Styela clava: one gene and its partner. The protein of the gene in region 2 interacts with the protein of the main gene of each other region in a biochemical or structural test. Links are inferred from orthologs where the notes say so. Each region holds a gene or a part of one and is shown on either strand. Other genes may lie near its edges.

Region 1 (3,935 bases), about 130 kb from region 2:
TTTGATAAAAATCTGGTGGGTTACCTAGTAATTTTAGAGGGTCAACAGCAGTTGAAGAGAGTAAAATCCATGAATCAGTGTTTGAGAGGACTTGATTGGCACTCTAATTACAATTTATTGAAGGCTATCAAAGTTACTCAAGCCATCTAAATGAAACGACTTGTACTCAGCTAATCGACAGTGAGACTTATCTCAACGAGAGACAGTGGCGTAGCGTAGCCAGGAATATTCAAAGAGAGAGGGATCTGAAAATTTCTAATTGCCAAGTTGAACCGTATGAGTCAGGCGGCCGGAAAAGTGTCCAAAAAGTACTTCAATCTATGAAAAATTGGTGTGTATGATACAGAAAATCAAGGTCTTTGTTCCAATACTGCTTTGAATCACATGACTAATATACCTGTTGTTATAGCTTGATTGGATGAAATGCAAGCTTGTGATACAGTATGTGCTGGAATTTTGTTAGAGAATCCTGCACCAAGAGCTGCTTCTCTTGCTATATTAGGAGTTTTTGCTTCCTGCAATATAAATCTGTTATTTAGTATCTGTTAGTACCTGTTATTACAGACTTATTTGCTGAAAAGTAATATTAAAATTAGGAACATTGTAAAAGATGAAAATCTTGCGACAAAATCTTTGAAATTTATTTAAACAGGAAGAATTTTGAAAAATATCGAAAATATTCTGAGTACCAAGTATAGACTTTGCATTCTAGCCATTAATTACCTGAATTACTGTTCCTACTGTAATGTAATCAACATCAGTCGTAGAAATTCCAGTTCTTTTCAGCAATCCGAGCATCGCTTCCCTTGCAAGGTCATGAGGCATGAGATTTTTATATCTGGATAAAATGATAGCAATTGTAACTTGTAGTTTGGCTTGACAGTTAGAGCATCATGCTAAGTATTAAGACTATGCTTGCAGTAGCACCTCTTGCTAACACTTTATAAGGGGTTTATTATGAGTAACAGGAGAGATATCTTAAAAGATATCTTAAGGACATGAAAGATTGGCGGAAAAACTGGGTGAAATATTGGGTCGCATGGGTCTCCGAGAAAATTTGAAAAAAAATAAAAAGCTTTTTAGTGTCACTACCCATCTGTGAGTGATAAAAATTTGTAATCGTTCATTCCTGTGGGGCATCAGTTGCAGAGATGGGCAATTTTTCTACAATAATAATAATATATAACCTATCTATTTAAACATTCTGGACTAGTAAATGGATCGTATAAAATATGTTACAATTATACTTACTGAGTTCCTGACATTAAAAAAGGTGTTCGAACTCCTTCAACTAATACAATATTTGGTTTCCCACTTTGTGACAATGTTTTCTTTGATTTTGCCGCAGCTGCTATGTGAATTGAACATCCAAAACATCTTGCTGAAACTGTCAAAAAAAAACAAATATAATAAAGCTTGTATTAAATCTAGTAATATAGTCTATGTCGAAGTTGAGAAGGGTAGAAAAATAAGCAGTCTTCCATATGAAAATAGGACTGATATGTATATCGATATCTCCATTGCAACAAATTAGTTTATATGACATTTCATAGTCGCAAGTCGCAACCCTCCGCTGTTAGTTGAGTGCACTTGGTTTCAATCTGAGGGATCTTGCATAAAAAGATATGAATAACGCATGTAAAAATATATGTATTTTAACTAAGGCAGGGGTGTGCAACCTTTAATACTGGCTGGAAGGCTAGATATGAATAACTGGATCTGATTTAACAAAGGTTTTTTAGTAGTTGCAGACACAAAAACTTTGGTAATTGATCTTATGACATGCGTTGTTCGCAAAATCTCAGGTATTGGACTCAGGAATAGGCTTTGCAATGCAAAAGAATTGGAATTTCTCACACATACTAAATTAAATTAAAAACTCCTCTCGCTGGCCGCACACCATTTAAAATTGGCACTTCATCGCTGGCCGCACAATTTTTCCTCGTGGGCCGCAGGTTGCACACCCCTATGCAAGGCTTTAGGACTGAACTATGATGATCATATTGTAGTTCATTGGGTTCAAATTCCATGCCCAACACCTCACCCAGGGTGTAAAAATTTGAGAAAATGCTGAACCCGAAAGATTCATGTCGTCCAAATCATAGTAGTTCCTTACAGTTACAGTGGCTACTTGTGTAGGGCCTTGTTTATAGCAAAAAACATGAATAAGTCATATAAAAAAGAGGGTGGCACAATAACATTTCAAATAAAACTCCTACCTTGAAAAAACGGCACTTTGTTGAGATTTGCTTTATTGAGTGTTCTTCCTATGCCAGCCATTTTGTTTAAAATTATCCTACAATAGAACTAGATTGGAACTTAAACTAAAATAGAGAAATGAATAAATTATGATTATAATAAATTAATCCACTCATTTTTTTCAAACTTAATAAAAAGACATGATTGCATAAATTATGAAATTTTTCAGCATGAAGCTGCTCGAAGTAAGATTACAATAGATCATTCAAAAAGTCTTAACATCAACACTTAATAACGAAGGAGAATAAAATTATGCACATGTATGATTTTCACTGATAAATTTGAACTTGGTACTAAAAAAGGGGTACTCCCGAAGTATGTGAACCAAGATGGCGAACACCGGAACGTAGTATGTAATAAGGAAAATTGGAATAAAATTATGGTCCAACTCTAACCTGGTACACATGCTACTTTCCGGTGTCTGCCATCTTGGATCACATACTTTGGGAGTACCAAATAAGGTACAAATGATTCGCAGAATAAGGACATAAACATTTGATAAAATAATTCAATACAAACAAAACTCAAATTGGCACCAATTTGCCAAGAATCAAAAGTTTGTAATTAATTGACTTTTCTTTTCAAATTTTACAAAGATGACAATAGATTGGATTATTTTAAACTAGAAAATATTTTATAATCACGTATGGTCATATATGCACCAACAATGTCATGCTTATGCAACAAATGCCTGTATCTTAATAACTAACTGATCGGAATTCTAGAGTAAAAGTCAACAAAAGCACCAATGTTACGAATCAAACCAAGTCAATATATTTATTAAAAATTGGTTTTATTTTATAAAATCATAATATTCCTGTATTATCAAAATCAATACAAGGTTATATTAGTTTTGAACATGGGACAATCTAGCACACATCCAATATTTCAGATTTCAATATTACTGTGTTGAACTGTAGCAAAAATAAATTATTATGCTAATGTTGCTCTTTGTTGTCTTCGCAGATCCCATAAGGTCGAATTTGGAAGATCCGTATCATTAGATTCCAAATTATTCAACGATTTCCCAGTAAAGTTCTGGCAAATTTCGATATATTTCTGACGCTCTGTACTTGACACAGAAGGACCTGCAGATTCCAAAGCATTCTCGATATCTTGATTCGAAACTGCTAACCTTGAAATTTGTCCTTGCTCAGAGTCAGTTCCATCAAAAGATATTTTCGTTTCATCACAATTGCGATCTGACACTGTTTCAATAATTTGACGAATCTGTTCAGGTAATTTACCTTCTTCCATTTTTGAATATAAAGAAGGGAAGTAAATTCCGCGCATTGAAGACTTTTTACTGTGAGAACTTCGGTCATCTAACTGGTGTAAGTCACTAGAGCTGTATTCTGGTGACGATAAACCATAACAAATTTTATACTCATTACTCTTTGAATTTGTTTTATTGGTTGAGCCATTTTCAATAGATTTGACTAAATTTTTCGCTGTTTTTGTGAAATCTGAAATAGTGACTTTAGGAATGCCTGTTGATGAATCTGAATCCATATCTTCATCTTTTAAGTCATGGTGTAAAGATTTTATTCCATTACTACTGTATTCTTCATCTAATTCAAATCCCCCCAAAGAAATCGGAGGTGAAATGGAAGAAAAAGGCTCGGTTGATTCAATTTTAATAGTACTTTCTAGCTCATTGGTACTATAACCATGTA
Region 2 (3,935 bases):
GTCAGACGAAACCTTACAGAAATACACACATTCAAAAGTGTTAAATGCATTTGAACAGATATTATTTCATGGTGGTGGTTATACCAAAAAATCTCAATGGAAAGGTCAAAACGAACCTCCTGAGATGAAGGCATTGTGATTTCACACCATGTCCCCAGCATGATCCAAAATGAAAGAGGTAATATTCAGATGCTTTAATAAATACATGATGATGAATAAAACAAGTATATATATATATTCGACGCAATTTAAAATCTAAATCTCTCAATTCATATTTTGGGATTTAGATTAGGGAGGTGTTCACTTCACCCCTGACCCCAATAGTTAGTTACCGTAACTGCACATGATATTTGGTAGTTCCATAGTAAGGAAATTTTCATTCTCCAATACAGGGTATATCGGGTTTTTAGTATTGTATTCATAGTATTTTATCACACAAACCTTGGCATCTTGTGAATCAAGCCGTAATATAGCAACGTCATTTTGAACTTCAAAAGTGATGTGTTTACCTGCAAAAACAGCATTTACAAGCATACATAATATGACATATAATATAATCACTGCCAAAATGTTTGAATTGAAAAAAAAATTTAGCAATCTGCATGTCAAAAGTAAGGGTCTCCAGATGTACGCTTGCTAAAGTATAGCTACAATTGTCCAAAATGGCATTTGAACCGACTATAATGAACTCACTAATGTCAGCAATCTCTCTCTTAACGATATCGTTATGTCGAGAAAAACGAGAGAAATAGCTTGCTCAATTCTGAATGACTGTCTGCGTGACCATTCGTATACTTTGAGGGCCGTATTACGGCACTGCGACTTCGCAGTGATGAGATTTTTGAATGGCGTAGTCAGGTAGGGGTTTGGAATGTGATATGCAAAATTTGTTGAGCCAGGCCAACTAGAAGTACTTCAGGAGACCCGAAAATAATACCTTTCAAATGCAAGAACACCACACTGGCATACTTAAGTTTCCAATGCAATTTCCATGTTTGGCCTACATATTTCAAGACAATCAAGAATATAACATTTGAGTGAATAGTTGTAAGAATAATACAGTACAGCACAGTTTTCCGATTCCAAGAATAACCCCCACATTGAAGAAATCAATTATAATAGCCAGTACAAATCCCTTCTTTACGAGACAGTGTGGGTCTCCATATCAGTATCGACAAACCAACCTTGTGCAATAAACTAAAATCAAAGGAAGCGCAATCGGGATTGCTCGAAAAATATAATCCAATTTACCGAAGGAAATTTTTTTTACCATAATGCCCAAATTTTTCTCACATGGAGGCCGCGATTAATTTAGATTATTACAGAGAAAAGCATGGCGTAATCTGACCCATCTGCAGTTGTGCCAGACGCCCTCGTTTCAGGAACAAATAGACTTTTTGTTTTATTGAACAAAATATCGTAAAATCTTGGGTTTGTTTGGGGAACCGTGCCCTACTGAATAAACTTCTTGTCTGGGGTTAAATCAACCAGATTCGATAAGTTATCTCACCATTCATTTGGGATGAGGTTGACAGATATCTATTTGCTGAACCTGGAAATATAAAGTAGAAATTATACATGTGCTCCAAATCATGGCATATATCACATAGAGACATACACTAAAAATATACCTGTATACAGGCAGACAGGTGTGGTGATATACCGGTATATGTTAATATAGAAATATTATTTAATTGGTCTGATAGAGGAAACAGTTAGCATAACCACATTAGTCCACTTATTTCAGTACTTACAGACTTATTACCGTGTTAAGCAAAATCTTCAAAAAAATTTATCAATTCAGTACCATAGTTTTTGGACTACCATGATGCAGATGCATGTTATTTTAATTTGTAAATTAATGAATGTTGAATAAAAGAAAATTCAGCAATCCAGTAATAGTGAGATCCACAGATTGTATCAGAATATAAAGTGCTTTGAGTAATCTGCATTTGTCAATATGAAATACTGAATATCAGAATACGGGAGATTAGAATAAGTCAGAATGCAGGAATGTGCGAAACAACAAATGAATACAGAATCTTACCAGTTACAAATCTATCCACTGTTCTTCGTAAAACGGTATTTCGACTTAAGGATAGACATCTTATAATTGAAGACATCGTGGAGCATTGGGGAATCTTCGCGAACTATCGTAGAAAATACCACTGAAGAAAAACTGAAAAACCAACAACAAATATAAAAAAACACAAGAATCCGCAAGCAATTCGCAACGAATCCCCAAAGGTCAAATGGTTAAGCCGGCATATATGATGTCATGCGTGCAATTATTACGTCATACGGAGTAACATATTCTTAGCAAATACTGTCTTATCTTACCGTTTCCTATTTTAAGATTAGTCTAAGAAATCGTATCTTTAATTAAATCAAAATATAAAATAATAAATATACGATATATTTATAAGATGTTTCATTATGGAGAAGAATTTTTTAAGTGTAAAGTCCAAAGGTTACCATTACCTTTGCGCAATGTCACATTTCGAAACTGCATTGTTCTGCTAGTTGCCCCACAAGAAGCAGCGCCCAAACTAATATTGAATTTTAACTTTTGTTGTTTATTTCTTTCTTTTTGTTTACTAATCTAAACAGAAGCTTATCACTATGTTATAATTAGAATTCGCATATTGCCACTGGCATCGTCACATAATTCTCGTTCTAACCCCTTGCGCTCACCAGAATTTTTTACAAGGAAACTTCGCCGTGAATTTTATTTTCACGTACTCATATATGCCGGTTGACTTTATTCTTTCGCTTCAGTGAGGGTGTCGTGGGATTTTTCTTGTCACTTGTGTGAGTGAATGAACACAAGCGATGGCTACACAACACTCGTTAGCCTATAAACCTTTTTTATGTTTTGCGTATCTTTTCAATCGGAATAAAGTTCCGGGTTTGTTTCTCACTGGTCGTTTCGTATACCGGTACTTCTGGCCCAGCGACTCTTAGGCAGTCTTCCGATCGCATGTTTGATTTTAAAGTCAGCTACAAGTCTGACCATCCAAAACAAATAACTGATTTCCTATTCCCAAGTTATATTTATACTTCAGGAACATGCAACAGGTGCACATTCAATGTAATATTTGGCGAGGATGCGACGTTTACAACAATGTTGACCATACAACTTTCGACTGCTTCGTGAAAAACAGGTCTTGACAATAGCAAATGTTCAAATTAAACGGCTGAGTGGCAGGGCTGCCAAGATGAAATCCAAGGGATTTTTATCACAAAACTGGAGAGAGCAATATAATTGTATAAATTATACGTACAATTTTTTTTTAGTAAATTCCTATTTTATATATTTTTTAATGTTTTGTTTTTTAGTCTAGATGTTTTTTGAGGTCAAACTAGATGTTTTTATTCAGACAAAAGTGGCAGCCCTGTTGAGCGGTAGGCCTATATCAATTCAAAACATCGCTTCAGAGACCGTGACAAGTGTCGAGGTATTATTATCCCCGAATGCAGGGCAATTGCGGCCGTGCTCCCTGGGAAACAAGAATCATGACATAATCGGCGTTTCAGGGTCGTCTCTCGTCTGGCAATGCTCTAGTTTGGATCACACGGATAACAGCTCACGACTATCCACGTAGAAAAACTGTCAGCCTCGAAATGTTACTCGAAAATGGCATCATCGGAATCAACCCGTTTATGAGATATTTTTTTCATTTTAGGATTCAGCTCGTTTGAAGTAGGGCTTGGAATGATTTATTGGTTAACCGATTTTAGATTGTTAACGGTTACGAATTATTTAAACTGACATATCAGTTACAAATCACCTTTATACTGTACGATTTTTTTTTAAATGGTTAGTTCATTGTACCTGTTTTTTGATTAGGTTTTTCACTTCGAACATATATCATGTTCTGCAAGAGTTCATTTCATTACCAATCATATATGCAATAAATGGTGACAAAACCGAC

What was found.
Region 1: the proteins of trifunctional enzyme subunit alpha, mitochondrial-like (region 2) and trifunctional enzyme subunit beta, mitochondrial-like are reported together in a solved structure, tested with the Homo sapiens proteins (2 studies listed by IntAct, with this or other methods). The link is inferred for Styela clava from reciprocal best matches to the Homo sapiens genes HADHA and HADHB.

The regions. Positions count from the first base shown.
Region 1 is NC_135264.1:2,221,834-2,225,768, reverse strand, and holds the start of trifunctional enzyme subunit beta, mitochondrial-like, read right to left. Parts: upstream 2,400-3,935; 5' UTR 2,281-2,399; coding exon 2,220-2,280; intron 1,388-2,219; coding exon 1,252-1,387; intron 839-1,251; coding exon 724-838; intron 516-723; coding exon 398-515; intron 1-397. Other genes in the region: peroxisomal ATPase PEX1-like, read right to left, coding at 3,193-3,935. UniProt on the Homo sapiens protein: Mitochondrial trifunctional enzyme catalyzes the last three of the four reactions of the mitochondrial beta-oxidation pathway.
Region 2 is NC_135264.1:2,096,340-2,100,274, forward strand, and holds the start of trifunctional enzyme subunit alpha, mitochondrial-like, read right to left. Parts: upstream 2,246-3,935; 5' UTR 2,124-2,245; coding exon 2,048-2,123; intron 1,553-2,047; coding exon 1,511-1,552; intron 510-1,510; coding exon 442-509; intron 1-441. UniProt on the Homo sapiens protein: Mitochondrial trifunctional enzyme catalyzes the last three of the four reactions of the mitochondrial beta-oxidation pathway.